Sus scrofa: one gene and its partners. The protein of the gene in region 4 interacts with the protein of the main gene of each other region in a pairwise test. Links are inferred from orthologs where the notes say so. Each region holds a gene or a part of one and is shown on either strand. Other genes may lie near its edges. The genes, in order: P4HA2, PTDSS1, SFXN3, CREB3, SYNPR, NDUFB6 and FIS1.

What was found.
Region 1: the proteins of CREB3 (region 4) and P4HA2 interact in a two-hybrid assay, tested with the Homo sapiens proteins (2 studies listed by BioGRID and IntAct). The two-hybrid records come from large-scale screens. The link is inferred for Sus scrofa from reciprocal best matches to the Homo sapiens genes CREB3 and P4HA2.
Region 2: the proteins of CREB3 (region 4) and PTDSS1 interact in a two-hybrid assay, tested with the Homo sapiens proteins (2 studies listed by BioGRID and IntAct). The two-hybrid records come from large-scale screens. The link is inferred for Sus scrofa from reciprocal best matches to the Homo sapiens genes CREB3 and PTDSS1.
Region 3: the proteins of CREB3 (region 4) and SFXN3 interact in a two-hybrid assay, tested with the Homo sapiens proteins (2 studies listed by BioGRID and IntAct). The two-hybrid records come from large-scale screens. The link is inferred for Sus scrofa from reciprocal best matches to the Homo sapiens genes CREB3 and SFXN3.
Region 5: the proteins of CREB3 (region 4) and SYNPR interact in a two-hybrid assay, tested with the Homo sapiens proteins (2 studies listed by BioGRID and IntAct). The link is inferred for Sus scrofa from reciprocal best matches to the Homo sapiens genes CREB3 and SYNPR.
Region 6: the proteins of CREB3 (region 4) and NDUFB6 interact in a two-hybrid assay, tested with the Homo sapiens proteins (2 studies listed by BioGRID and IntAct). The two-hybrid records come from large-scale screens. The link is inferred for Sus scrofa from reciprocal best matches to the Homo sapiens genes CREB3 and NDUFB6.
Region 7: the proteins of CREB3 (region 4) and FIS1 interact in a two-hybrid assay, tested with the Homo sapiens proteins (2 studies listed by BioGRID and IntAct). The two-hybrid records come from large-scale screens. The link is inferred for Sus scrofa from reciprocal best matches to the Homo sapiens genes CREB3 and FIS1.

What each region holds. Positions count from the first base shown.
Region 1 is NC_010444.4:134,530,741-134,535,179, reverse strand, and holds the start of P4HA2 (prolyl 4-hydroxylase subunit alpha-2), read left to right. Parts: upstream 1-1,636; 5' UTR 1,637-1,744; intron 1,745-4,439. UniProt on the Homo sapiens protein: Catalyzes the post-translational formation of 4-hydroxyproline in -Xaa-Pro-Gly- sequences in collagens and other proteins.
Region 2 is NC_010446.5:40,324,003-40,327,659, reverse strand, and holds part of PTDSS1 (phosphatidylserine synthase 1), read left to right. Parts: intron 1-437; coding exon 438-550; intron 551-3,657. UniProt on the Homo sapiens protein: Catalyzes a base-exchange reaction in which the polar head group of phosphatidylethanolamine (PE) or phosphatidylcholine (PC) is replaced by L-serine. Catalyzes mainly the conversion of phosphatidylcholine.
Region 3 is NC_010456.5:112,110,080-112,114,322, forward strand, and holds the start of SFXN3 (sideroflexin-3), read left to right. Parts: upstream 1-1,403; 5' UTR 1,404-1,538; intron 1,539-2,782; 5' UTR 2,783-2,785; coding exon 2,786-2,946; intron 2,947-3,568; coding exon 3,569-3,739; intron 3,740-4,080; coding exon 4,081-4,179; intron 4,180-4,243. UniProt on the Homo sapiens protein: Mitochondrial serine transporter that mediates transport of serine into mitochondria, an important step of the one-carbon metabolism pathway.
Region 4 is NC_010443.5:236,453,573-236,457,030, reverse strand, and holds the end of CREB3 (cyclic AMP-responsive element-binding protein 3), read right to left. Parts: intron 2,661-3,458; coding exon 2,554-2,660; intron 2,441-2,553; coding exon 2,372-2,440; intron 1,597-2,371; coding exon 1,512-1,596; intron 1,408-1,511; coding exon 1,323-1,407; intron 1,246-1,322; coding exon 929-1,245; 3' UTR 658-928; downstream 1-657. UniProt on the Homo sapiens protein: Endoplasmic reticulum (ER)-bound sequence-specific transcription factor that directly binds DNA and activates transcription. Plays a role in the unfolded protein response (UPR), promoting cell survival versus ER stress-induced apoptotic cell death.
Region 5 is NC_010455.5:44,839,700-44,844,080, forward strand, and holds the start of SYNPR (synaptoporin), read left to right. Parts: upstream 1-1,532; 5' UTR 1,533-1,726; coding exon 1,727-1,744; intron 1,745-1,859; coding exon 1,860-1,925; intron 1,926-4,381. UniProt on the Homo sapiens protein: Intrinsic membrane protein of small synaptic vesicles. Probable vesicular channel protein.
Region 6 is NC_010452.4:33,847,784-33,852,157, forward strand, and holds the start of NDUFB6 (NADH dehydrogenase [ubiquinone] 1 beta subcomplex subunit 6), read left to right. Parts: upstream 1-1,559; 5' UTR 1,560-1,672; coding exon 1,673-1,852; intron 1,853-3,756; coding exon 3,757-3,849; intron 3,850-4,374.
Region 7 is NC_010445.4:8,939,242-8,943,614, reverse strand, and holds the start of FIS1 (mitochondrial fission 1 protein), read left to right. Parts: upstream 1-1,512; 5' UTR 1,513-1,828; coding exon 1,829-1,873; intron 1,874-2,724; coding exon 2,725-2,857; intron 2,858-4,185; coding exon 4,186-4,262; intron 4,263-4,373. UniProt on the Homo sapiens protein: Involved in the fragmentation of the mitochondrial network and its perinuclear clustering. Plays a minor role in the recruitment and association of the fission mediator dynamin-related protein 1 (DNM1L) to the mitochondrial surface and mitochondrial fission.

The DNA of each region.
Region 1 (4,439 bases), on a different chromosome or scaffold from region 4:
CAGCCTGGACAGTGTGCCACAGGGAATATCCCCACACGGGCCTGGGCGGAGGCTGGGCACCTCCCACTCTGGGCTTGCTCCCTGATGAGATTCTCAGACCGTGTTTCCCCTCATTCATGACCAGGAAGGTTCACAGAGCAGGCGTGGGAATCTGCTTGGCGGGCCTCAGCCTCTAGCTCAGGCTGAGGTTTGCAGCATCCCTGCCTTCATTCCTTCCCAGACGGAACTGCCTGAGTGAGCTATCTACTGTTTTGGGGCCCGTAGTGTACAGAAGGGCTTGGGCAAAACAAAGATTGGCGCCCATGTGCTCCCCATCCCCAACCCCCCAATCTTTTAAGGGCTCCCTTCTCACCGACCCGTTCCCTCAGACATACCTGCCTGACCCAGGAGCTTGAGGGGAGTCTGAGTCTCTTTGAGGGCTTGGCCCTGGGGAAGGATCCCAGGTCCTTAGGTTCTTCAAGGCCCTCTCCACTCTCCCCTTCCCTGATGATCTAGCTCCTGGGCCGGGGGACGTAACCCGCTGGTGGTAAAGATGGGGAGGGGGCGGGAGGGGCCCGTGTGGGTAGCGCAGGACCCGGGAGGAAATGGGCATGGGCTGGGGCCAGGGGAGTCCGCAGGCATCTGGCGGCGCCGGGATCGGGTCGTGGGCCCCTCTCCAGGCGCCCAGGGGCGGGGGAGGCGGACGGGCGGAGTCCCAAAGGAGGAGCTGCAAGGGGAGGCGGGCGCCTCGTACGTGCGGCGAGCGGCGGGCGGCATGAAGGGCGCGGGCGGCCGGTCCCGCCTGGCCCAAGGCTCGCTCCTGGCTCCCGCGCAGTCGGGCGGCCTGAGCCTTCCCGGGGGTCGCTGGCGGTGGCGACTCCCGGCCGAGGCTGTGGAGGCGCGGAGCCGGGGGCCGGGCGGGCGGGGGGCAGGAGGTGGGGACGTGGCAGCGGCTCAAGCGGGCGGAGCCCGGCCGCGGCGGGAGGCGGGGCGGCGGCGGGAGGCGGCGCCGAGCGGGCTGGGTGCCGCCGCGGGAGGTTCTGGAAACGCCGAGAGCGGCGCGTGTCCCGGTGAGCGTCCAGCCCGCCCGGCCGCCAGGTCCGCCGCCGAGCTCGGGCGCAGGCAGAGGTCGACGGGCCGAACCTTCTGCCCCCACGGGCTTGGAGTTGGGGGTCGCGCCCCTCGCCGTGCTGCCCGGGCCGCAACCCCGCGCCCTCCGCCCTGTTTCTACCCCCGTGTGGGTTCCTGTCCCGCCGCTGCGTCCCCTTCCCGAGCTCGGGGTAGTGAGGTCAGCAGCGCCCTTCCTGCCGGTCCCTGGGTCGCCCGGGCCGGGCCGGGCGGGGCGGGGAGCTTGGCCGCCCTGCTGGTCAGGCTCCCGGGAAGGGAAGGGGCGGCCTGGCCCGAGGGCTGCCCGAGGTTGGAGGCGGAGGCAGGGGCGCCGGGCAGGCCTTGGGCGACCGCTTAGGGTTAGTGAGGTCCGCATGTCTCCCTTCAGAAGCCTGGGAGTCTGTGGCCCTGGCCTCCGGAGTCCAGCTTGGTGCCCATTAACACAGGCTATTGGATGAGAAAGTTTTTTTTTTTTTCTTTCCCCTCCAGACATCCTTTTAGAACCTGCGTGGTTTTGCCTCAGCAGCCGCGGCGACTTGTAACTAGTTAACTAATTCAACAAACGGACCCCTGTGTGTGTCAGAAACTGCAAGGAGTTGCTAGCCCAGTGGGGCAGGCGGACTGGAAGACCAGGGAAGTCCAGGCCCAGGGCAGTGTGGTGAGTGCTGTGCCGGGAGGGAGCACTGGACTGTGAGTACTTGGTAGAGCACAGGTTGCTTCAGGCTAGTGGGCTTCCTGGAGGAGGTGACCCATGAGCTAAAGTGGTCAAATGAAGGCTGAAGAGAGGGTAACCCAGACGGAGAAACAGCTTGTGTGAGTGGAGGAAGACCTGGGCACTCCAGGGGAAGCAGGCTGATGGGGAAGGGATGTTTTAGGGCGTAACTCCCATGGACCCTGTCCAGAGAGCTTCAAGTGAGAGGTCAGTGCCTTGTATTGTGCCCTGTATGTAGAGGGTGCTCGGTGAATCCTTGCTGCATCGGCGTAGATCAGGGCATTTCCCACTGCAAGACAGAGGCTCCTGGTCTCTCTTCTCTAATCTGACTCCTTTCAGATGGTGCAGAACAACATCAGCGCCCCTCCCCAGGCTGAGAAATGGTGTCTTGTACTGCAGAGTGACACCTCAGGCTTGTGCTGCTTGATGTAAACCATCTGAGGCTCAACAACCTTAACCTTTTTGTGGGATATCCTGCCCCTGAGAGCAAGGGCTTGTCATTTAGGGCATTCAGATAAGTGTCCTTGATTTCACAGAGATCCACTGTCCACCTAAGAATTTATAGAGTGGTTTTATAAGCTATGTCTTCTTCTCAGCTCATAGCACACTTGAGTTCTCTGTTAGATGAACCAAGATTGCCTTTGGCTTGTGCTTAAGCTCCCCCTGAAGTGTCCAGGGAGCAGTTTCTCACTTTGGTTCTGGTTCTCAAGGGCCAGCCTTTCTTTTCACTTCTAACATGTTTGGGCTCTGAACGCTTTTCTTTTGGGGCCTCATTTGCTGACAGCCAACCCGTCCACTGTGGGGCCCAGCCAAGGAGCCACGTAGCAAGAATGGAGTGAGTTGGCTGGGGGCCTCATCCCAGAGATGCCATCACACGGGGCCACCCTAGTTCTCTGAGAGCTCAGCAGGCAGACGTGGTGGCTACTAAGCATTGTCTGTGGCTTGGGATAGACCCTTCTCCCCTGTCCAGTCTGTCTTGTGATAGACTCTGAAATGGCCTGCCTGGGAGAGTGCCTACTTTGACCCTGGTTTAACCTGGCCACAGCCAATTTCCGTTCATTCCTTGAATAGGCTTCTGCTTAAGAGTCTAGGCTAGGCGTCTCCTTAGAGGCTGCCTGGGGCTGGAATGAGGGAGGAGGGAGAGGAGGCAGTAGCGATAGTACTCTCCATGCCTGTAGGTAGCTCATAATCTCTCTGAGATTGCTGCTTCGTGCTTGCGGCTGGTCACATGCCAGGGAGGCACTCAGAGCATGGATGCTTCTCAGGAAAGACTGTGTGGGTGCTGCCCTGAGGAATGAGTCGGGTGAGGGAGTCTGGGGTCTGCTTATTTCCTGTGAGAACCTCCCTTTTTGATTCTGCCCTGCCACATCCTTGCAGTGGGGTGTGGGGTGGGTGTGGGGTGGGGGTGGGGTGGGAGGGTGGTTCTGAGGCTGGACACAAGACCTTGGCCAGTGAGTGGCCACGCTGGCTGATAGTGTGCATTGGGCTGGTGGGTGTGTCCCTGGCTTCTGGGATCTGTCAAGGGTTTAATTCTATGCAGATGGAAATTGGCAGGAAATGCTGTGATGCAAGCACAGGCAAGCCCGACAGGGTGCTGGAGCGAGAATTAAACTTTGAGTAAGTTGTTCAAAGCTAGCAATTTGGACTTTTGAAGTGCACCAGGGTGGGACATCAGCCTGTCCTTGAGCACAGAGGTCCTGTGGCTCCTGAGGTCTCTGGGATTTGAGCTCAGGATGTGGAATGATGGATGGAGTTTTTATTCGTAGAAAGAATGGAGGGGAGTGAGGAGGAGTCTGAATTAGACTTCTTGGAGGCCTAGAAGAGTGTTTGTTTAAATGGTTTCATTACACGGTAGAGAGTCAATGTCTGGGTAATGAGTTCTCCAGCTCAAATAGGATGTGAGCCTGATCACAGATCAGCATCTGCTCTAGACCTTCCAGGAAATGCTTGCTAGAGTGTAGCCTGCTCTGTGCCTTGCATTCCTGAGGGCCCAGGGTGTGGTCATCATCCTGTGGCCTGGTACTCATAGAAACGCGGAGTGGGCAGGTCGTAGAAATACATGAGATTCTAGAGTATTGAGCCAGTCACCTGGTTTTGCCGGAGAACTTTCCTTGGTGCGCGTTAGAGCCAGTGTTATTCCCTGGTGGTCGATGTGCTGCATTATGCCTGACTCCGCTCTCTCCTAAATTAATCTTGCCTCTCTTTTAGCACTGCTAGGACATAGAGATTGCCCAATTTCTGCCTTGTTTTCATCTTCATGGTCCTCTAGACTAGACTTTCTTCCTCTCCAGGGATCATCTGGCCAGCTGGCTGCTTCTGATCTCTTGCTGTTCCTCCCGTACTCTTGGTGCTGTTGACTGGTATAAATTGTGCCTGGTGCTGGGCTGTCCGCTGACATCGGTCGTCCCATTCAGTCCTCTAAACAGCCCCATCAGATGTAGGTCCTAATATTATATGATGGGAAAACTGAGGCTCAAAGAGACCCTGTCACTTTTCTGAGGTTCCAAAGCCGGAAAGTGATTGTGGAGCTGAGTCTAACTCTGGGGATGTCTAGGGCTGGATGCCTCCCTACTGGACTATAATGCCTTGCCCTGAGCTGGGCCACTTGGTCATTGTTGAGTGCTGTGATGCCTGGAGCAGT
Region 2 (3,657 bases), on a different chromosome or scaffold from region 4:
CTGGCTGTTACCTGGTTTAAATGACAATCCTTTGAGACCCAATACCTTTTTTTTTTTTTTTTTTTTTGTCTTTTCTAGGGCCACACCCGCAGCATATGTAGGTTCTCAGGCTAGGGGTCCAGTCAGAGCGGTAGCCACTGGCCTCCACCACAGCCACAGCAATGCAGAATCCTAGCCGCATCCGGGACCTACACCACAGCTCACGGCAACGCCGGATCCTTAACCCACTGAGCGGGGCCAGGGATCAAACCCACATCCTCATGGATACCAGTCGGGTTCCCGACTAGTCGCTGAGCCTCGGTGGGAACTCCCCAGTACTTTTTCTGAAAATGCTTTGAATGTACCAGTTATTTCCAGCTATAGACTGCCCACTGGTGGACTAGGTGATCATGACTTAGCAAGAAGCATCAAGCTGACTCACGCCTCTTCTTTTGCAGCTGACTGAGTTGAATACCTTCTTCCTGAAACACATCTTTGTGTTCCAAGCCAGCCATCCGTTAAGTTGGTGTAGAATTCTCTTTATCGGTGGCATCACGGCTCCCACAGTGAGGTAATTCTGTGTTAGTCTGACCATCATTTGAGTGCGTTCACCTGCTTTGTATTCTCCTGTGTACATAAGGGAAGCCACATGAGGAGCAGATTTTTCCATGAAAATATCGTTCTAAAGAATTACGAGTCCAGGAGTTCCCATCGTGGCTCAGCAACTAGTCGGGAACCCGACTAGTCAGGTAACGAACCTGACTAGTATCCACGAGGATGCGGGTTCGATCCCAGGCCTCGCTCAGTGGGTTAAGGATCCATTGTTGCCATGATCTGTGGTGCAGGTCGCAGACGCAGCTCGGATCTCCGTTGCTGTGGCTGTGGTGTGGGCTGGCAGCTGCAGCTCCAATTAGACCCCTAGCCTGGGAACCTCCATATGCTGCGGGTGTAGCCCTAAAAAGAGAAAAAAAAAACAAAAAAAGAATTATGAGTCCAGGCTCTCAAGAAAATGTTTTGCTTCGCAGACCTCTGTAACATGAAGACCTCACACCATTATGATCTTCACTGCTGTTCTTTGTTTTTTAGGGAGGGAAGGTCGTTAGTTTCTTAGGGTTTTTTGGCTTGCATGTGTGGCATGTGGACATTCCCAGGCCAAGGGTCAAACCCCTCCCACAGAAGTGACCTGAGCTACTGCAGTGACAACAGTAGATCCTTGGAGTTCCCATTGTGGCTCAACGGTAACGAACTCAACTAGTATCCATGAGGACACGGGTTCGACCCCTGGCCTCACTTAGTGGGTTAAGGATCCCGCATTGCTGTGACCTGCAGTGTAAGTCCCAGATGCAGCTGGGATCTGGCATTGCCATGGCTGTGGTGTAGACCGGCAGCTGCAGCTTCAATTTGACCCCTAGCCTGGGAAATTCTGCATGCTGCAGGTGCAACCCTAAAAAGCCAAAACAAAAACAAAAACAAAAACAAAAAAAACACAAAAAAAACCCCACCAGATCCTTAACCAAAAGAGAACTCCCATTCTTTTTTTTTTTTAAATCTCGTAACATCCTATTTAAAATAAAATGAGTAACAGAGATCTGAGGTTTCTTTAATGAGATTATTGAAAAATACAAATGTTTTTAATGGTGGATTGAAGTCATGCATGATGTTATTTTTAGAATGAGACTTAGCTCTTTCAGAGGCAATTCAGTTCATTTCCTTTTAAAAGTGTCCTTCCTGTAGTCCTCCAGGGACAGTGGGGACATGCCTGGGTATTCATGCCACCCCTCCCCTGGCTGCATGACTCACGCAGGCCGAGGGATGAGGCGCTATTCAGAGGTGTCCCTCGTATGGACCAGTCCCTGTGAACTTCAAAGCAAAACACTTTGTTTTGTTTAATTGTTCCTATTTCAAAATGGCATTTGGGTTTTTTAACTAGTATGCAGTATTGGACTTGATTGGTACAAACGCCCTGGGTCTCTGCTCAGCTGATACAGACACAAACTCAGCAACTGAGTTCGCTCTTCAGAAGCTGTAGAAAAACTAAATTCTTTTTTTTCTTTTTTTTTTTTTTGCTTTTTAGGGCCATACCTGGCATATAGAAGTTCCCAGGCTGGGGGTCCAATCTGCGCTGCAGCTGCTGCCAGTCTACACCACAGCCACAGCAACATGGGCTCTGACCTGTGTCTGCGACCTACACTGCAGCTCATGGCAATGCTGGATCCTTAACCCACTGAGCGAGGCCAGGGATCGAACCTTCGTCTTCATGGTTCCTAGTTGGATTCATTTCCACTGAGCCATGACAGGAACTCTGACAGGTATTTTATTATATGTGTAAAAACAGCAAAGTAACAGTTGGTAAACTGCATCCTTTTGGCACTTTATAGACCAGTGGACTGTTGAAGTGGTCATCTCACAAATGCTGTTTTCCTTTGGTGGCTTGGAGCCTCTCTGCCAAATTTAAAATCTGATTTAATTTGAGGCTTACACTCATTTTCAGGAAAGATTAGCAGCCATCTCTTCATGAAATTAGGAGCAATCAACAAGTCATTAAGCAGGGAAAGAAATCACTTATTAAACGGAACAGCAGATCACATGTGATTTATCATAAAATTTCAAAACTGTTAGACATTTCATTACAAAAACTAGAGACTAAACCAGAGACTGAAAAATCCAGTGTTTGGACTTTCTGAGAGCTCCTCCAAATTTTTGCCAAACCCTATGGGTTTTCACACTATTTGTTTTTGTTGAAAAATTAGCCACTTTCTGTGTTCTTCCCCTTCTTAAGGCTCTTTATGTGTAAGGAGATCCTTTGACAACCTTCTTGGAAAGGTGGAAGTGCTCTAATGGGTTTTAACACAGCCATCCAAATAGCAAATGCCAGGCCCTAAATAAGGAGAGAAGGCTCAGTAGGCTTCAGTATAAATCGTTGCATACGCACCAAGAGTTCCTGCTGTGGCGCATTGGAAACTAGTCCAACAGGTATCCATGAGGATGCCAGTTAGATCCCTGGCCTTGGCCAGTGGGTTAAGGATCCGGCATTGCGGTGAGCTGTGGTGTAGGCTGGCAGTGTAGCTCCTATTTGACCCCTCGCCTGGGAATTTCTATATGCCACAATTACAGCCCTAAAAGGGGAGGGGGAATCATACATACGCACCATGTCTCTGTTTTCTTTCTTTTTGGTTGGACTTTTTGGCTCTGCTTTGAGAAGATCTTTGAATGAATTTTTTTTTTTGTCTTTTCTAGGGCTGTTCCCGTGGCATATGGAGGTTCCCAGGCTAGGGATCTAATTGGAGCTGTACCTGCTGGCCTACACCAGAGCCACAGCAACTCGGGATCTGAGCCGCATCTGCGACCTACTCCACAGCTCATGGCAACACCAGATCCATAACCCACTGAGCAAGGCCAGGGATCGAACCCGCAACCTCATGGTTCCTAGTCAGATTCGTTAACCGCTGAGCCACTATGGGAGCGCCAAAATACTTCTTTATAATGTTTTAAATATATTGGATATATATATAAATGAATTTCATCTGTTCCTTTTTTTTTTTTTTTTTTTTTTTTGTCTTTTTTAGGACCACACCTGTGGCATATGGAAGTTCCCAGGCTAGGGGTCAAATCCGAGCTGTAGCTGCTGGTTTATGCCACAGCCACAGCAGTGCCAGATCCGAGCTGCGTCTGCAACCT
Region 3 (4,243 bases), on a different chromosome or scaffold from region 4:
TCCCCAAAGAAACTCCGGGACCCAGAACGCAGCACCCCACCCCCGGCTCGGTCCTCCCGGCCCCTCTCACCTGCTTGCTTGTGCGGCCGCAGCCGGCCTCGCCCGCCCGCGGGCGCGCGCAATACCGCAGCAGCCGCGGAATCCCCGCCCACGCCCCGCGGAGGCGGCAGGAATGGGGCAGGCTAGTGCAGCCCCGGGCTCCCATTGGCTGGGAGCGACGCCAGTCATTCCTCCCTCCGCCTCCCTTGGGTGCCCCTGAACGCAGTTCGCAACCTGGGCTGGGGTCGCTGGGTTCTACACACTCCAATTGAGTTCGGATGCCCCACTCTGTACCACGAACTTAGGGCTGGGGCCTTGGCTTGCTCTGCTCCCGCTACCTGTACAGCTCAGGGGAGCCCAGAACCCTGTCTTCTCCAGGCCAAGCCAGCTGCCAGGACTCGTGGAATTGTCACCCCTCTGCAGTGATCCCTGAGGCCTCAGTGAGGATGTCACCCAACAGCGGGGTGTGAGCCTGCGGTGGGCAGGAGCATGGGTGTGTGGCACGCATGCTCTGAATGATGATTGGGTGAGGGTGCGTGTGTGTGTGTGTGTGTGTGTGTGTGTGTGTGTGTGTCTGAGCGCTGCCTTCACATGCATCCTCCTTCTATATCAGAAAGTGTCTCTCTGGCCACCCAGTTCTGGAATGTATGCGGGGGGGGGGGAGGCAGCTGATAACAGGACACTAGGAGGAAGAATCTTTTTGATCCACTTCCTTGATAGGACAGAGGGATCTTGAGATTTCCGCCCCTTCACACCCAGAGCAGGGACTGGGGCCAGGGTCTGCGAAGCAGGGGTAGAAATTGCGGGCATAAAGAAACTGGGCACCCTAGCAGAGTTAGAGGTTACAGAAGGGAGTAAGGAGGGGACTAGGAAGGAGGAAAGGACTGGGGACATAGAAGGGGCACAGGCACGAGAAGAACCACACTGGTGCGAGTGCTGAGGTGCTGCGAGAGGAGCTTGTGGGAACCAGGAGAGGCGCCCAGGGGGGCAAGTAGGCAGAGGCCACTGCCAAGGCAGCCATCGAGTAAACAAGCCGGCGGTAACCCGAGTCCCTCCGAGCGCACCATCAGTGGATGCCCCTCCACGTCGCGCGCCTTCACCCTGGGCACCCAGATCCCTTGCTGAAGAAACCCGGTGCCTCCCGAGGCCAACCAAGGCACTGTGAGCAAATGGGGCAGCGCCCGCCGCTCTTCCCCTCCTCTCTCGGGCTGGGGACAGGGCCAGAACTGATCCTGGAGTCGGGATTGGCTCTGGGAGGCACCGTAGGGCCGGTCTCGGTGGACCGGGCTGGGGGCGTCGCCCCTAATGATACCCAACGCCCCCAGGCTCTGCCAATCCCTGGCCACGCCAGGCGAATGCGCCGAGGGAGCCCCAGCCTCTCAGGCTAGTGAGCGTCACACGTGACGTGTGCTTGATGGGTGTGAGGGCGGGGGCGACGGGCGCAGAGGAAGGCGGGCCTAAGAGCTGCAGAGGCCGGGAGCCGGGGAGCCCAGGAGAGCGTGAGTGCTCGCTGTGCCGGGCGGGGTCCGGGGGTCAGGAAAATAGCGGGTTGAGGGCTGGGAGTCAGAGAGGAAAGCTGCCTTGAAGTGCTCTCTCTTCAGCACACTTCCAGGCAGTGTGAGATTCAGTATCTTCGGCTCAAGGGAGGTCCATGGGGCCGGAGGGGAGGTTAGTTGGGGAAGGAATGTCGGGGTGGGGCTCTATGGATCACACAATAAAGTGTCTGCAACTGATAGATATGGGCTGTGTGTGTGTGTGTGCGTGCAAGTAACGGTCTTTGTATGCAGGGCGTGTCCACTCCATTTGTAAGTCTGGGTAGGGCATGTATGCTGCTGTCTTTGTGTGTGGGTATGTGAATATGAGTGTGCAAGGCAGCGGAGGGTGTGTCTGCCTGCGAGGGAGGAAGTGTGGTTGGAGAGGATTAGTCATTCTGTAGGATTTTGCCCAACACAGCCAGATGGCGGCTTCAGGCTTGCCTTTCTGGGCTGAATGGAGGGGTCACTTACTGAACCCTGCTTCTTTTGAGGCCAGTGGCTCAGGGAGAGGTGGGATGGGTGTCTATGTCAGCCCTGCCCAGGTGGGAAACAAGGAGATCCTTGGGCCCTTCTGTGTGGGATGAGGAAGGTGGCTCTGGAGGGGGGAACTTGTGCGTGCATGCCTGTGGGCATACCTAGCTGGCAGGCTTCAGAGTCACCTTTTAGAGATCTGGAATAGATAAGCCTTAGAGTTGCCAATGAGCCATTGCTCTCCTCCAGTCCGGGCTTGGGGTGTGGGATGGCTTATACCGTCTTCCAAACAGCCTTAGGGGTTTGTATGTAGGCTCAGGGCAGCCAGGGCCTAAAGCTGAATGAACATGGATGTGTGATGCATATAATCTGCATGTTTGTGCATACAGAGCACATGAATAGCTGTAGAGGATTTGTTGCTGCTGCTGCATCAACCACACACATGTAAATCCTCACTCATGGAAATCTGTGCCAGGCCAGAGCACAAGGACATCTGTTTTCCTGGCTCTGTTCTCCCCTGTCCCCTTCTCCTGTGTCTGCAGGTCCCTGAGCTAGGACACTGCCTAGAAAACAGCTCCCCTCCCCCACATCCTTGCTTACGTATCCAGAATCACCTTGAGCTCTAGAAGGGATTGGCAGTAAGCCCAGGGACCAGGGTAGGGCTACCAAAGTTGGCCCCATGTGGAGTCCTTGGGTCCTCTCCTTGGAGTCCTCTGACTCTGGTCCCTCCCCTGCAGAAAATGGGTGAGTTGCCCTTAGATATCAATATCCAGGAACCTCGCTGGGACCAAAGCACTTTCCTGGGTAGAGCCCGGCACTTCTTCACTGTGACCGACCCTCGAAATCTGCTGCTGTCTGGGGCACAGCTGGAAGCTTCCCGGAACATCGTGCAGAACTACAGGTGACTCCCAACCCCAACTGACCCAGGGTCTCCTTCCCTGCCATTAATAAAGTACCCTTTGCACCTGTCTCCCCTGTTCCACTCCTCCACCCCAACCCCTACTCCCTAGCCCTATCTGTTGGAATCACAGACAAGTAGGGCACAGAACGTTAACCCAAAAAATTTCAGGGTGTTTGGCTTGAGAAGGTAGTATTAATATTTATGGTCAGGGGGCTGCTCTATGCTTCATACTTTACAAGGACCTGTTCCACTGCTGGGCCACCCTATACAAGGATAGAGGGGCTCAAATTTGGGTCCCAAGGAGGTAGGAGGGCAGGAGGAAAAACTCTTGCAACACCCCAGCCATTTGTGACCCGTTGGAAACCACCATTACTCATGACCCAGCATTTGGGCAGAGTCAGAAGGGCACCCTTCTATGTGTGGCTAAGAAGGGAAATAGCAATAGGAGCCTTCCTTCCGCGACAATTTAATTCTTCCCCAGAAGTAAGGAGCTTCTTTATTACGAGGTTGAGGGCCAAAGTACCTGATCCTATGCCCAGACTTCTCCTGAGCTGCGTGGGCAGGGCTTGGGTGGGGGGATCTGCCCCTAGAATTGCTGTCTGCTCCTTGCCAACCCCTGCAGGGCCGGCGTGGTGACTCCAGGGCTCACCGAGGACCAGCTGTGGCGGGCCAAGTATGTGTACGACTCTGCCTTCCATCCGGACACAGGGGAGAAGGTGGTCCTGATTGGCCGCATGTCAGCCCAGGTGCCCATGAACATGACCATCACCGGCTGCATGCTCACCTTCTACAGGCAGGTTCTATCCTGTGTGTCTCCTCCCTGGGTGCTCTGTCCAAGCTAGAGCATAACTTGATGACTAGGCACTTCCGGTCTGGGCCAATTTGGGCAGAAAATAGTAGATGGGTGAGAGCTTGTGTTAGAATCCCTTCCCTTCCTCTGAACTCGGTCAGGGGTCCTCCCACCCCAGAGACCATGGGTGTGTTTGTGTAAGGACGACCATGCAGGGGTCACTGGAGCAGGTTCTAGGGTCATCAACAGGGCCTCCCCTGAGGGTTTGGGGCTAAGCTTTGGGGTTTTATGATTGGGGTCCAAGAAGGAGGGACACTGTCGAAGTAAGCCTTTTTGTTCCCCAGGAAGACCCCAACCGTGGTGTTCTGGCAGTGGGTGAATCAATCCTTCAATGCCATTGTTAACTACTCCAACCGCAGTGGAGACGCTCCCATCACCGTGGGGTGAGAGCTCATCCCCAGGGGCTCTTCTCCCCGCCCTCCGTTGCTCTCTCGTGTTCCCTGAGGG
Region 4 (3,458 bases):
TGTACGGCCTGATCCAGTGCCACCTCATCCATCCAGAAAGCCTCCCCCTTTTCCCTGGCACACATCCCACCTCCCGCCTTCAGGCTTCTGCCTGTGAGTCAGTTTTATTTCCCTCCGTAGCTGGGAATTCCCTGAGGGCAGAGACCTACTGTCTCCATCTGTCCAGCTGAAGTGGCTCTTCAGGGGTTGCCGAGGAATATGATGGCCATTTCTCTCTACAGGGCCTGACCTGGGAGGGCTTCCGTACAGCAGAAGGCTGCTACCGTACTGTGTGGGAGCGCCTGGGCCTGGCCTTCCAGACCCCTGAGGCATACTGCCAGCAGCGGGTGTTCCGCTCACTCGCCTACATGCGACCACTGAGCATCTGGGCCATGCAGCTAGCCCTGCAGCAGCAGCAGCATAAAAAGGCCTCTGGGCCAACAGCCAAACAGGACACAGGACAAAGCTCCGGCCTAAAACCTGGACCAAAGGAAGCCATGCAAACCTGAGCCCAGAGGGGGAAGGAGGCACTAACAGCCCAGCCTCCAGCCAGGCCTTTCCTCCTCCACCACCCCGACCCCATCCAGACTCCTGCAACCCTGAGCCACCAGGACAATCATGCGCTCCCTTCTCCCCACCAACCACGCCAGTAAAGAGGGGTTGAGGGTGACCCAAGCATCAGAATCACTTATTTATTTCTTTCTTCACCCCATCCCCTCATTGCATGAAATGTTCAAGGAAGTCAGTGGACTCTCCCAGGCCCCTTAATGGAACAACAGACATACATGGGTGCAAATAAAACCCCAGAAAGCCAGTAAGTGTGGTGTGTTTGTGCCCTCAGGCTTCCTGACAGGGGACAGGACCTGAGGCTCACCCTCTCCCATTCCTTTTCCTTTGAACACAGACTGGGGGCACCAGGCTCTGGCTGAGGCCCCCTGCATTCTCACATCTAGCCTGAGTACCTGCCCTGCAAGGTAACAGATATGGGGCTGTGGGTAGGGAGCCATCCTCCCTCTCTTGTGAGATTTGCATGCAGGGGGAAGATGGGACCTGGGCTAGAAGACCTTGAGAAGCGGTCGGGCAGTGGCAGCTTCATGGGCGATTCTGCCCCAGGAGCCCAAGCCATGTGGTGGAACAGGCAGCAAGAGTTGCCAGGAGCCTGGAGCTCGTGGGTTGAGCTGTCCTGTGGTACCTCTGACTGCAGTGCAGGCAGGTCCCGCTGGGGAACGTCCTCGCTGGGGAGGGCACGAAGCTGGCGGGACAACACTGAGGAGACACAGACTGTTCAGGGGCCACCCTGGCTTCCCCCCCTGGCCCTTCCTGAGTGGTCTCAAGCCTCTCACCTCCATGCTCGGCTGGCGGGCTCCCCCTTGTGTCCGAGGAGTACATGGCAGGTACGAAGAGGAGACAGAAGGAGAAGAGCAGGACCTGGAGCACAAACAGGAAAAAAAAAGAGATGAGGACGAGCTCTGGATTGCACCCCTGTCCCTGCCACCTGAGAAAAGAATCTCTCCTTCCATCGCCATCCTCACCAAGATGCAGGTGCTGCTGCTGCTGGCTTTGTTTGCCGTCTGAATCACCATGGACTGCAGCCTCCTCAACTGATCCAAAAGGGACCTAGCAGAAGAACGGGGGACAGTGAGCAGCCCCCGGCCTGGCACCCTGACATGTAACAAAATCCTCCTGTTAAGGCCACCCCTCCCTCTGTGCACTGGATCCTCTCTCTTACTTTCTGACCTATTTTTGCAAGTGATCACCTCCTCTCTAGACAAAAATGCCTGAAGTTCCTCATTAAAACAAACACACAGGACTCTGCCCTGCCCCTGACTTAAACTCCTTCTGCAAACACCTTTAGTGCTTGTACAACTGCCTGATCAGCTCCACACTCAATCCTCTTCAGGGATTCTATGTTCTTTTTTTATATTTATTTTGCCACACCCACATGCTGCGGGAGTTCCCAGGCCAGGGATCAAACCAGAGCCACAGCAGTGAGAAGGCCTTACCCCAGGAGGCCACCAGGGAACTCCCTCTATGTTCTCTACCTTATGGCCCAACTCACCTGGGTTAGGGTTCCAGCCACACTAGACTATGTGGTGTTCTCTTTGCCTAAAATGCTCCCTGCCGCCACTCCAGAATCCCCATCTACTGTCAAATGCCTTCTGCCACGTGAGGTCTTTTTTGCTCCCTCTTTCTTTCTTGATACTTATCTGTAGTTAACTTGGGAATTTATTCCCCATTGCTGTGAACTTCTTGGAATCAGATACCCATGAAAGGCCAACACCAGGCCTTGCATGTAGGAGCTGCCCAGTTAGAAATCAAGTGTGGAGCAGGGGAAATAAGAAAGTATTAAACGGGAAGAATGAGAAAGCACTGAGGTCGAAGAGCTGCTTACAGATTCTGCTCCTCCAGGAGCTGTACTTTGTTCTGTAGCTCCAGATTCTGGGCCGAGTATTTCAGGACCCTGGAGAAATAACAGGGCTGTGGGGATATGGCCTGTACCCATCCTTCAGAAACCTGACGCTCCCAATTACTTCTGTTCTCCCTGTCCCCCCGAAGTCCCTCTCCCTTTTATACCTGCTCTCTAAACTCCCCACATACACCTTCTTCTTCCTGCGGCTCTCTTGAGCAGACTTTTTGTTTCGAATCTTCCTTCGCACTCGTCTCAGAACTTGTTCCTCCATCTGAGGGACATTGGGGAAAAGGGTAACATCAGAAGAAGGTGCGACCAAAGAGCCTGAAGGCAACGGAGTTCAAGCTTCCCAATGGGCGAATTCCTTCTACAGCCTTCCTGAGCACTCTGCTTCTGTATGAATGCCCCCGAGAACAGGTGTTAACGCCCTCACAAGCCAGAACCATTTTAATTATTAACTAAAAAACACAAAACAAAAAACACTTCCTTGTCATGAGCCAACATCTGCCCCTGTTCTTTCTACCTATCGGATTTACCTAGCACCCAATCTCTGGGTGCTATTTTACTTTATTTATGTATTTACTGCTTTTTAGGGCTGTATCCTCAGCATATGGAGACTCCCAGGCTAGGGATCGAATCAGAGCTACAGCTGCCGGCCTATGCCACAGCCACAGCGACACCAGATCTGAGCCGCATCTGCGAACTAGACCACAGTTCACGGCAACACCAGATCCTTACTTAACCCACTGAGCGAGGGCAGGGATTGAACCCGCAACCTCATGGTTCCTAGTCGGATTCCTTTCCACTGTGCTGTGATGTGAACTCCTCTTTAGCTATTTTAAAACACTTGACATTTCTTCCAAGTGAAAAAAAAATCTGGGCAAAAGTTTTAACTCATCATCTGCTCTCTTCTCAGGATGGAATGTATACTCGTAATATCTGTCAAAAGATCTGGGCTCAAGCCTGGACACTGAGATGTGACGTTCTGGCTGATATAAAGGAGAGCAAGTGGTTACTGCTCTTCTAGAGGCAACACAACTAGATAATGAGTATCTGCTGATATAGCTTG
Region 5 (4,381 bases), on a different chromosome or scaffold from region 4:
AAACTATTCATTTCTACCTTTCTCCTCAACTCCTGAATATTAGTCATCAACCCCCTCCAATTCCAAACCTTTTTGGCAGATCTTTGTGGTAAACAGATGGGCTATCTGTGTTGCTGGGAGACCACTTCGTAATGGAATTCTGTCCAAAGGGACTAAAAAGAAAGGGGACCTATCAGCTCTATGAGGAGCATTGAAGACTCCTCCTCCCCTTCCTTTCCTTTTTTTTTTTTTTTTTTTTGTCTTTTTTTAGGGCTGCACCTAAGGCATATGGAGGTTCCCAGGCTAGGGGTCGAATTGGAGCTACAGCTGCCAGCCTACACCGAAGCCACAGGAATGGGGATCCAAGCCACATCTACCACCCACACCACAGCTCACGGTGCTCAGGGTGATGTCGGATCCTTAACCCACTGAGCAAGGCCAGGGATTGAACCCACATCCTCAAGGATACTAGTTGGGATGGTTACCACTGAGCCATAATAAAAACTCCCTGTCCTGACTATTTTGAATTCAACTCTGGCTTCATTCTCTGCACCTCCCTTCCATGGCCCTCTACTCCCTCATCTCTAAAATGAGAATCTTAGTACTACAGACCCATCTGGGATTTGTGAACATTTAATGAAGTAATGTTATAAAGCCTTTAACACAATTTGTGATTCATGGAAAGAAAACTGTTTTGTCGTTATATATTATTTCTGGTAAGGTTAGCAGACTAAGGGAGGAAAAGAGTATGAGTTGGGGGAGTGGCGCTCAGTCCTATTTATGATGGATTTGAGGAGGGGGGCTTCATTTGAGGACTCTATCTTAGGCAAAGGATCTTGGTAGAAACAGCATGAGTTTTACAGGAACTTGCATTCCAAACCTTGTTTAGCCTCATGAGCTAGCTGTGTTACCTAGGCTAACTTTGCCTCACTAAGTCTAGTTTCTACTTTTAAGAATGGCATAAAAATACGCCCCTGACCTCATACAGTAGCCATGCGGATTACCTGTCTGGCACACTGTCTCCTATTTTCACAATTCATTCCTCTCCCCTCACCTCTAGCCCCTTTCCCTCCGACCTGGCCCTCTGCTTACTGCTGAGGGAATGGGCAGTGTTTATCCTGTTCCCTGATGTGTCCCAGTACACCTGGAGAACGTTCCAAGAAGGCTCAGGGAATGACCAAGTCATCAGTCTTTCTTTGGTGGTCAGAAGTCACCAGAACGCACACACCTCCTTACGAGGGGTATGGGCTGCCTCTCTCTTACCTGAAACCCCCGTATGCAGGCAAGGAAGCATCTTGCTGAAGGTGCCAGCCAGCTTACCTCAAACCTACAGGCCCCAAATTACCCTGGAGCCTGAGGGCACCGAGCGCGCTGGACGACTCGGCCCCAAGGTCGCGCTTCCGCCTCGCCCACCTCCTGGCCCTCCCCTCCGGACCTCGCAGCTGGCCAATTGAAGCCTCGCCTGGGCAGTTGCGCGGGCCTCCCTCCCACCCCCACCCCCACCCCCACCCCGCCCGCCTACCGCTCCCCCGCCCCTCCCACCCTTGCTGCTGTGCTCGCTGCACCCGCGCGCAGGCTTTTGGAGCCCATCGTTCGGGAGCCCGCACCTGGCACCCAGCTCTCCCCCGCCTCGCTCCTCCGGCTTTTCCCGAAAGAAGGCTTCTAGTCCTAGGGACAAGGACAGCGGTGGCCCTCGAACTTCATTTTCCCAGGCACCGCTGGGCGAGAAGCCCGAGCAAGACGAGCTATGGACCCCGTGAGTCAGGTAGGACCGACTGGGAGGCGCGGGTAATGCTGCGGGACCCCGGGGCTCCGGATGACGTTCCTCCAGCCCCTTCTTCACGCTGTGTCTTCCTCTCTCTTGCCTCCTTGGTCCACAGCTGGCCTCAGCAGGCACCTTCCGGGCGCTGAAGGAACCCCTTGCCTTCCTGCGAGCCCTGGAATTGGTGAGTAGTGATGTGTGTGCGGGGAGGCGAAAGAGAGAGCGAACCAGCAGGTGAGGAGAGGTCGGGTGGGGTGCTCCCTGCTCGGTTCCTCTCCAAGCGTGGGATTCAAGCCGCTTCCTTCAAGCCTCCCCACTGCCCAGGTTCCAGTCCGGGGTTGAGGGACAGGACGAAGGGACCTGGCTTGGAGGCGGGAGCTTGGTTTTGCACGGGCTTAGACGAGGTGTCTTCTCACTTCGGCGGCTTGCAGACGCTCAGGGGCTGTGGAAAGGAGCCTCCTGGGGAGACGAGGACGGGAGCAGATGGAGGAGCTGTCCTGGGCTTTGGCTGCTCACCTGGCTTTCCGCGGGGGTGAGGACCTGGGGGTGAGCAGAGTAGCGGGGAGGACTTGGCCAAAAGTCAGAAAGTTGGTCCGCACTCGGGGCAGCCCTCCGCCCCTCCTGCGACGCTGGAAGCGCTTCGCCGCTGCAGCTCCGGCAAGAGAAGCTGCGAGGCTGTGAAAGATGCTGTTATAGAGAACGGGAGTCCTTCCTCCCATCTTAGTTTCTTCACTCTGGCCACTCCTCGAGGGCTTTTCTGATTTCTCCACGAAGAACCTCCTAGCCTTCTCTGTGGAGCTTTCTTCAGCGACTGGGCTTTAGGAAGTTGTAGTACTCTTCTGTTTTGTTCCCTTAAAATACAACTTGATAGTCCCAACGCAACTTATCTTTTGGCAGAAGAGTGAAGCGCAGAAACAGTTACCCAGGGGGTCACACAGAAATGTTAGTGTTGCTGGCTTGGATGATGGTTATTCGGAGTGAAATCTGTGGGTCACACATTCTCTCTTGCTAGGAGCTCTGAAAGGCAAGTGAATCTATCTGAACAGAAAGTTCAGAGCCCGTCATATAGCATTAATCACAGGTCCTATCACTGACTAGCTGGGAAATTATGTAAGAGCCTGTTCTGTCCTCCCAGATCTCAGCTCCAAGGGCCAGGATCCTGCTTTGGCAGCAAAACCGTGGTACATGCTTACTTGGATGGTCTACAGGGTAGTCATATTTGGCTTGTTTGTAAACTGCATAAAAATGCATGAATCTATCAGCTGGGCATACATTAGGGCAACGTTTGGAGGGCTGGGACTAGTGGTTCTGGTATGGCTATTCTAAAACTGTTTTTGTCACAGCAAAGTTAAAGCAAGCAGGACTCAAAGTCCAGGCAGCTTTAAGTTGACTTTCTCAGAGTTCTTTCTGCATTCATTCATTTAGCTGTTCAATAAACATTCTTTGTGGAAGAGTGATTTTTTTGTTGTTGTTTTTGTTTTTTTCTTAAAGTAATAGCTCCATTGTCAAGCCATTGCCTCTCAAAACCAAGTTCAAAGACCTGACATCATTTCTGATATAATCTCTTATTGTTTCACATTGTCATTGTCGCTGTCCTACTGTCATTGTCACTTACCTGAAATATTAGTTGGTATTCCCTTCAGTCCTGTTGCAGTGTTTTTTCATGTCACTCCCCATACACAGCCTCTATGATCGTATTTTGAAGTGTGGTAAACCTGGATGAATTTTTTTAAAATGCAGATTTTGGAAATCAAATTAAAATATTGTGAAGGTGGGTGCCTGGGAATCTGCATTTTAAACAAGCTCCCAGGATAAGTTGTATACACATTAAATTTGGATAACCAGCACCCTAAGCTTCATAAAGTCCCTCCAAAACAGCAAAGCACTTCTTACCTTAATGCTCTTGTTATTCCTGTTTATACTATATGGAGCACCCTCACAGCTCAAACTGAGAACAAATGTTTGCTTTTTAACCTCAGCTTAAATATTACCTCCTCACTGAAAATTGTGCTCATATTTGCTCCTTCCCCTTTCCTCTACCCCAAACTGACTGATTCACCCCATTCTTTGGGCTTCTGTTACAGTTACATCTTAACCATTCACTCATGAGAATGTATCACACTGCCTTATAGTTGTTTTTTTCTTGATGTGTATGTGTGTAAATGAGAGAGAACTTATTACATTAAAACTTTTTTTTTAAATCAAAGTATAGTTGATTTCCTTTCTTTCTTCTGAGGCTCTGAGGAAGAAAGGTTTTGCTTGTAAATCAGTTGTTAGGCCATTGTTTGTGGGAAAGAACCTGAAAAAAGGGACCAGAATAACCTTAAAAGATAAGTTAGTTGATCACTGCCTTTGGAAAGAGCTGAGGTCGAGAGATGAAAGCAGGGAGATAGGTGGTTTGAGAAAGTTTATCAAAGTGGAGAAAGGGAAAGAAAATACCTTTTCTGTGCATCCAATAGGTGAAGAGTTCCTCTCAGGTATTTGTTTTCTGTGAGAGATAGTGACAGTGAGAGAGTTTTAGCTCTTCAGTGGCAGGAAATGTGTTATGTTTGTAGTCCCCACAAGTGTCTTTCATGGTTCTTGGTAAACAGTAAGTGATCAGCAAAAAGTGTAAATTGAGCACAACAAAGCACTAATAAC
Region 6 (4,374 bases), on a different chromosome or scaffold from region 4:
TACTGACTCTGTCCAAATTTAGGACTACAGAGTTTTAACTTAAACTCATACAATTTATCTTTGTATCTCCTTTCTCTCATAACACAAATCCCGGCCTAAACGTTTATTTTCAGTTGCAGGTTAACAATACCATCACCACCATCACTATCAAGGATATGGTTACTTAAAACAGTTTGACTTCTTTCTTTCTCTTTTCTTTCTTTTTCTTTCTCTTTCTTTCCTTTCTTTCTTTCTTGCAGTTCTTTTTGTCTTTGAAGTATACCTCTCTATGGATGTACAATAATGTGATGATTTAAAGTTACCTGAAGTGGGAGTCCCCATTGTGGCTCAGTTGTAACGAAACTGGTTAGTATCCATCAGGAGGCAGGTTCGTTCCATCCCTGGCCCTGCTCAGTGGGTTAAGGATCTGGCGTTTGCAGTGAGTGGTGGCGTAGGTCGAAGACTCAGCTCAGATTTGGTGTTGCTGTGGCTGTGGTGTAGGTTGGTGGCTGCAGCTCTGATTCAACCCCTAAGACTGAGAACTTCCATATATCTCAGGTACAGTCCTAAAACGCAAAAATAAAGTTACCTGAAGTGGTGTGTGTTTTTGAAATTATGCCGCCAAGCAGTCAGATCCATCTATTTTTACTTTTGATTTTTAGAGGGTGCTTTTTAAAAACCAATTTGGAGACGTTTAGCTTCTATCCTTCTTGTTTCTAGCCTACCCCCTTCCTCTTCCTATAGGTAACATTAAAAAAAAAAGTAATTTTCCTTTCCATTATTTTAAAAACTTGAACAAACATATGTATATATATACATTTAGTATCACTACCACCCTCCCCTTTTTGGATAAAAGGTAGCATACTATACATACTTCTCTCCGTTTAGCTTTTTTCTCTTAACAACTTATGTACTCAGTAGCTCTCTCCAGTTTTATACAAAGCATTTCATTTAGTTATTGTACCACAACTTATTCAGCCAGCCCTTTACTGAGAAATTGAGCGGTAATTTACAGGATTTTATTATAAAGAGTGCTGCAGTTTGTGCACATTCTTTTCATATTTTTACCGCTGTATCTTTAGACTAGAGGTCTAGAAGTGGGATTGCTGGTACGAAGGGTGAACGTGTCTAATTCTGCTGGATAGTAAGCGACTTTCTACTTCTGCAGTACTGATGAAGGAACAGACGAGACAGCTGCTCAAGGACTCTTTACCAGAACATGGATGTAAAGGGTCCCCCACATACTCTAGGTTACGGGAAGAGGACGAATTCCAAGGTGGGAGAGGCAAATGAATTTTGCATGTAGAAGTCACTCATTGAGTCACATATTCACATACTTCCAGCTCCCAATACACCAGTTCTTCCTGGTCAGAGCGTTTAGTACACTGACCTCTGATACTTCCTGTTTTTCATTACTTCCCTCCTCATCCGGTAGCTAACTGTCTGCCAGTAACCGCCTCTCTCTGGAAATCTGGGCGCGTAAAGCGGTGCGGGGGTCTGCAGGAGTTTGCGCATGCCTAGTCACTACGCGCAGATTGGAGCCGCTCGAGGGCAGGACCCCAGTGACGTCGTAACGGCGCGCCGCTCCCAGGTGTCCTCGCAAGGTCGCTTTGCAGAAGGGGAAGCGCGCGTATGTGACAGGACCCTCGTTCAGGGGCGCGCCGTGTCTTGCTTCCTTGGTACCGGCGGCGACATGTCGGGATATACGCCCGACGAGAAACTGCGACTGCAGCAGCTGCGAGAGCTGAGAAGGCGATGGCTGAAGGATCAGGAGCTGAGCCCCCGGGAACCGGTGCTGCCCCCGCGGCGGGTGTGGCCTATGGAGCAATTCTGGAATAAGTTTTTGCAGGATGGAGCCCCCTGGAAGAACGTGGTGAGTGATGGCCCTCTCCCACCCCCGCCCCGTCGCGGTCCCCAGCCTGGCTGCTGTGACGCCTGCTCTCTGTAGCAACATTAGGTAGGGACTGATTCTCCCTTTCCCCGAAAGTACTGGTAGTTTCCCAAGGGGGAATTAGGTTCTGCCGAGACTTGGGTGTAGTGGGAACGCTGTCTGGTTCCTAGAGTCTTGGCCTGGGGGTCAGGAGTCCGGAGCACGTTTGGCTTTGGGATTGTCATACCATTTAACTGTCAGGTGTGATGAGTAGGAGGTGAATCTTTGCCTGGGTTTTACAGGATGGTGCAGCCTTGCATCTCTTTTGACTGTGGGAATCTTCCCTCAGAATGGTAGCCAAGGATTCACTAGAGTTAAAATTCAGTGATTTCGGTATTTGAGGACATTTGTCTGATCTTTGAGGTTGAGATTATAGAAACTAACTGCCATTACACCGAACCTAGAAGACAGTGTGCTTCTAACTGGTAGTACAGCTCCATGTAATCATCTTATAAGAATGGGTCCTATTGGGTTCTTACTTTATGCCTGACATTTTTCAAGGGTTTTACATGTGTTACTTAATTTTATTTTGGACTCCTGTAAGGTAGAAATTGGTCCTAATCTTAATTTTAAGTGTGGAAACTGAGGCCTACAAAAATTCAGTGATGTAGCCATGGTCTCAGGGTGAGGAATTCGAGTTCACATTGAAATCCATGTGTATCTACTTTCTTACTGAGCTACGAAGTCTGGTGCACATTTTTCTGAGCAAGTGGTATTAGATACTTATTTACGGTGGTAAAATTAAACTCTAAGTCAACTCTCCTCTTTTCTCCCTTTGGATTTCTGACATTTTACTAACTGATTTGGCAACCACTGGTTGAAAGTTGACATACCACCCATCAAGCAAGCGATTTAAGGAAGTAAATAATAATTTGTTGAAATCTGACTTACTTCATGTTAACCTTTTCCATAATCATATCTATTATAACACTTAAAATTTAGATTGTCCTTTCCCTGAAAGGATAGGTCCTATTCTTTCAAATTGGCTGCCCTGGAAAAGTTCCAGTTTTAAATGACTTTTGCCTTTCCCTTTTTTTTTTTTTTTTTTTTTTTGGTCTTTTCGGGGCCGCACCTGCAGCATATGGAGTTTCCCAGGCTAGGGGTCAAATCGGAGCTGTATCCGCCAGCCTACGTATGCCACAGCCACAGCAGTGCCAGATCCTAGCCGCGTCAGCGACCTCCACCACAGCTTACGGCAACACAGGATCCTTAACCCACCCAGCAAGGCCAGGGATCGAACCTGCGTCCTCACAGATGCTAGTCAGATTTGTTAACCACTGAGCCAGGACAGGAACTCCTCTTTTTAAAAACAGTATGTCTGAAGGCAGCTCACTGAGCATGGAACACCCCATCCCAGTATGTAAGACATCCTTTTTCCAGCATTAGTGTACTCATAATTATCTGCCTTACATCTTAGATGGTACAAGTGATGTTGATTATGTATTTGAAATTGATAAATTAGGGAAATGAAAACTCTGTATGCTGATTATTCTGGTTAAATCTATTAAAATTATTTTTTCATTATTTATGCCATGTTTTGTCTTAAACTTATAATAGGGATATTTTTAGAAGTCTTTTAAAAAACGTATATCTATAAATACATTACTATATCTCTGCAAAATACTGCTTAAGCCTCCTTTGCTCTGAACTCTGGAGGTGTCACCTAGTAGGCACTGTGTTTAATAAAAATATTCGAATGCATGAAATTAGCTGCAGACTTTAAGGAAATATGTAACATTTAGGGATTTTACAATGAGCATGACGTTGTTATAGCATTGATGCTTTTTTTTTCCTGCCGCAAATGTGAAAAAATAAGGTATCTATTTCTTGTATGCTTTTTCCCCCAGATCTATAAGACATACCGACACAGCATCTTTGCTGTTACTCATGTGCTTATCCCTGTATGGATTATTCATTATTATCTTAAATATCATGTAACTGTAAGTATGCTTTAAGTGTATGTTTTTCAGAATTTGTTTTTAATATTGTGCAAAATTATTTTCTATGCGAGTATGCCTTACTCTGCTCTACTTAATGGAAATAATCTGCCATGTATAACTGATTTTGAAGTTGAATCCTTTTAGGTAAAAGGTTTAAGGAAACTTAAGTAATGTATGGTTTTTCAAAAATTTAATCTTTATATTAGTTGCTTACAACTTGAGTTGTGTTTCCTCATAGAAACAACATTATGTGATCAGAAATGTAGTTGACCTGATAATGTGAGTGTAAACTTGGAGTCCTGAGTTGGAAGGGAGAAAAGAATTTCTGTTCCTTTTTTTTTTGAACACAGATCTAAGATAAAATTCAAAATAGTTAAAAGTTGTCTTTGTCATCTTACTATTCCCTTTCCCTTTGCTCTGTGTTTTTTCACAACTTAACTTTCTTTAGAATCTAGCACATCTAGAGGCTTGAATTTTTTTCCCTGAAAGATCTTGCATGTGGTGATTGAACTGAGATGCCCTGTT
Region 7 (4,373 bases), on a different chromosome or scaffold from region 4:
CAAACTCAGACTTAGCATCTCTTCACTGGCACAGAATCAAGCCATGTGGGCGTTCTTTTTCCCCCCATGAATATACATTCAACAAACCCCACTGGAGCTCTTACCATGTTTCAGGCCTGTGCAAAGAGCTACAACAGATACAAAAATGGATAAGGTGCAGCAGGTCACCCAAGGGGAGTAACGTCCTGATAGAAATAATGCCCTTTTGGGAGTTACTGTCGTGGCTCAGTGGTTAATGAATCCGACTGAGAACCATGAGGTTAGGGGTTCGATCCCTGGCCTCGCTCAGTGGGTTAAGGATCCAGCATTGCCATGAGCTGTGGTGTAGGTCGCAGATGCGGCTCGGATCCCATGTTGCTGTGGCTCTGGCGTAGGCCAGCGGCTACAGCTCCGATTGGACCCCTAGCCTGGGAACCTCCATATGCCTCAGGTACGGCCCTAGAAAAGGCAAAAAGACATAATGCCCTTCTGCTTTCTTATATTCCCTGCCTTGCCAGTACTTGCCGTTTCCTGTTGTCACCCATCTACCTCATATTAGGTATGTCTTTTTATTCTCTCTGCCTACCCCAAGGCCCAGCCAAAATTAGGTGTTCAATACGTCTTTCAATGAATGCAAATTTTTCTCCTTGACTGTTCTGGAGCCAGTTCCCTAAACTAAGGTTTCTCTCAAAGTTTACTGAGCTCATGTCAAAGTCATTTCAACTGTCCAAGCCAAACAGAGAAGAATAATTTGCCTACATAACTCACAAGGCTATTATGAGGGGGAAATAAATTCAAGGGGCTTTGCGAACAGGAAAGGTGTTTGGATGATAATCCCCTGCATGTGCACTGCCTTCATTACTGTTGTTGGCTTTATTTCCTGTTTATTCAACAAAGATTTACTTGTTACCTTGTGCTAGGAGCCGGAGACGGCAGAGACAAACAAGATAGTCTCTGTCCATGGAACTTATATTCACATGTCTACTAGAGCACTGAGGGTCAAGGTAAAAAGAATTTGAAAATCACTACCTACCCAGTCCCCTCACTGCACAGAACACAGATGCCAGAGCAGCCAGCAGCATTTCCCCTTTTCATGCTTTGTTGCTTCTCACTGTCAAGGTCCTTATTGCCCATAACCCCACTTGGCCGGCCTTTCCTCCTTGGGTACACCCAGAGGATGCTCTATCAAATAATATTTAAAAGATTGGACCCTCTGTGCAAGCAACGACAACAGCTTTTCTTTAAATTCTCATTCATAGTATCCCCCCCCAACCCCCACCACAGTTTCTGGGTGTACGCTTAACAGATCCATTTTCTTTCCTCTTGCATTGTAAGAGGCAGCAGGGGCCCTGGAAACTCTGGTACTAGTTATAATTTTCTTACAGGTACTGAAAGGTCACGTATTCGCTAGCGTCCTAGGTACCTCAGAGGAGAGAGCTGAGGGGCGGAGGGTAGATTAGACTGGTCCCTAAAATTATGTGATCCATGCCTAGTTCCCCACCTTCTCTTTACGCTGTTATCAGTCCAGGGGTCAATTACCAAGACGTAGTCTCAGACTTTATTGAGGCAACCTCAGTATTCTGAGGCGCACGCAGAGTACCCTCGAAGACAGTCTTGAGGACGCAGCCGGCTCCCGCGAGACCTGTTGGAGCATGCGCATCAGTAACCCCACCCACCAGCCGGCTGAAAGGCGGGCTCGGAGTCGGCCACGTAAAGCGATTGGTTCTGCTCAGGGGGGGGGGGTCTGACTTCCGCCGGACGCCGGAAATGGCTCTCCGCCCCTGTCAGTGGGCCATGGAGACTGTGGCACAGTAGCGTCTGAGTAGTGAGGATTGCGAGGCCGACGGCCATGGAGGCCGTGCTGAACGAGTTGGTGTCTGTGGAGGATCTGCTGGTGAGGCCCGGCCCCGAGGGAGGGAACAGGAAGATTCGGAAGGGCGGGCCCTCAGGAGAGTGGGGTAGGGGCCAAACCCTCCTCCCAGCATCAGCTTTGCCCTGGGAAGCCGAACTACGGTTCCCGGCAGCCCCTGCAGCGTCCGGCTGCTGCCTAGAGGTTCCAGTTTGCCCCAGAGGCTAATGTGAGATGTAGTTTCCTGTGCTACCACGCCTCAGATTCAGGGCCTGGAGCCTGATGGGGGCTGGGTCCGTGCAGGATCTAGGAGGTCAGGGAGCACCTGTTTTTTGAGTGCTCTCGTGGCATGGTAACAGGGCGACCACCATAAAGTTTCATAAATTGCTCACTGAACCCGGCACGGTGCCTGGCAGGGGATATCTCAATCTTTGTAGCTCTAGTAGGAGGTAGGCACTATTTTTGTTCCTGTTTTGCAGATAAGAAGGGGTCCAAACCCGGCAGGGTGGGGATGGGAGAAGCAGTCTCCGACTAGAGAGTGCGTGGGCTGTTGTTGAGCAGTTCTGACAGCTTGTTTACTGTTCAGCCTCACGGGGTCAGCTGCTCCGGGAGCGGTGCCTGGAACTGCCACCAGGTGGCATCTCCACTCGGTGCCACTAGGGGGAGGGGAGCAGAGGGGGGACCATCCAAGGAGACAGACAGCCCACTGCTAAGAAGCAGAATGCCTGGGCCGAGGGATGGAGATGGCAGAACCAGGGATACTAGACCCCACAACCGACAAGGAAAATGTGGCAGAGGGAAAGATGGAGGGTAATGAGGAAAGGGACACGAAGGTCCTGATAGAGAGTGGCTTACCCCCTTCATTTCTAAATGACTCCTCTCCTCTCCTGTGGCAGAAATTTGAAAGGAAATTTCAGTCTGAGAAGGCAGCAGGCTCGGTGTCCAAGAGCACGCAGTTTGAATATGCCTGGTGTCTGGTGCGAAGCAAGTACAACGATGACATCCGTAAAGGCCTTGCTCTGCTGGAGGGTGAGGTGCTAAGCTGGCTCCCCAGCCCTCCCTTGCCATCACCCTCTACCACCACTGGCCTCTTTCACTCCCTCCATCTCAAGGACTGGGATCCTTTTAGAACATGGGACCTCAAAGTACCAGTCACCTCACAGTTATTTTCCAGTAAACTCACAGCAAAAAAGGGTTATGCTTAGCCTGACTTCTTGTAATATATACTTTTGGCTACTTACCACCTCATCATTGATTTTGCCAAATAGTCATGGCCTGTCAGTCCCCACAGGACTTTGGTGATCTGGTAGTCTAGACACAAGGAAAATGACTTGTCCCAGGTCACACAGCTGCCTAATTAATGGCTGAATTGGGACTAGAAGCACCTGTCTTGTGTGTCCTAGTCCCATGCTCTTTGCCCCCCACCATGTTGCTTATTTAGCAGTGGTTGTTGAAAATCTTCTGAGGGGGCCCATGGAAGAAGTATAGAAAATGATCCCAAAAGCCTGTGAGCAGATGGTGCTCTTTTGATCAGAATGCTGTTTCTCATGGTTTTGGATGGGTCAGCATTTGGTGAGAGCCTACCATACTTGACCCTTAAATCTCTCTGTACCCCCCTTTCTCTTGGTCAGGTGATGGTGTGTAAGCAAACAGTGTACTAGCCAAGGATGCCTATTGTAAATCCATAAAAGTAAGAGTCTTCCTTAATGCAAATAATTTCAGCCTCCATTTGTCTACTTTGCCAATTGGGATTTCTTGGGTTTCCTCTGCAGCAGAAAGGGTCTCTAAACATTGCCAGTCTAGTTGAGGAAATAGTGCAGACACTTGGGAAGATGTATAAACACCTGCAAAACTACTTAGCAAGAAATTCAAGTGTATAGAGTACAACTGAACACATACGCCTCAGGGAAGTCACTGAACTAAGAGAGTCAGCTGGGGCCTTTCTGAGGGGTACTTGAAAGGGAGTTTTGAACTGATTTTTTAGAGGGGGAAGGAGTGCAAACTTATTTTGAACACGTCTAGCAGCAAGCAACTGTAGTTAACATACACAGCAGGTGCCACAACTGAGTGAACCCTGGCTTCAGTGGAGCCTTGATTTCCTTTCAGTTGACTTTGAATGAACCAGTCAACTCCTGTGTTGATAGTGGGATGTTGATCACCAGGGCATTGGGCAGTCTGGGTTCATGCTGTCACGAGGCTCTGACTGGGAAGCCTCGAGACTGGAGCTGAGATGGAGGCTCAGGACATGACTTTCCCCCAGGATCATATAGGGATTCAGGGAGTGGAAGGGGTCTCTGGGACACAGGCACTAGGAAAGGAAGAGAAGGGGTTTTCACCCTCTCCCCCACCCCCTACAGAGCTGCTACCCAAAGGGAGCAAAGAGGAGCAGCGGGATTATGTCTTCTACCTGGCCGTGGGGAACTACCGGCTCAAGGTAAGGCAGACAGCTCCCTTCTCCCCTCCCTCTCACCTGGGTGACCAAGCACCCTCTCCTCGTCTCTCCTCCAGGCTAAGCCAGGGGCGGGTGGGGGGTGTGGGTTACAGA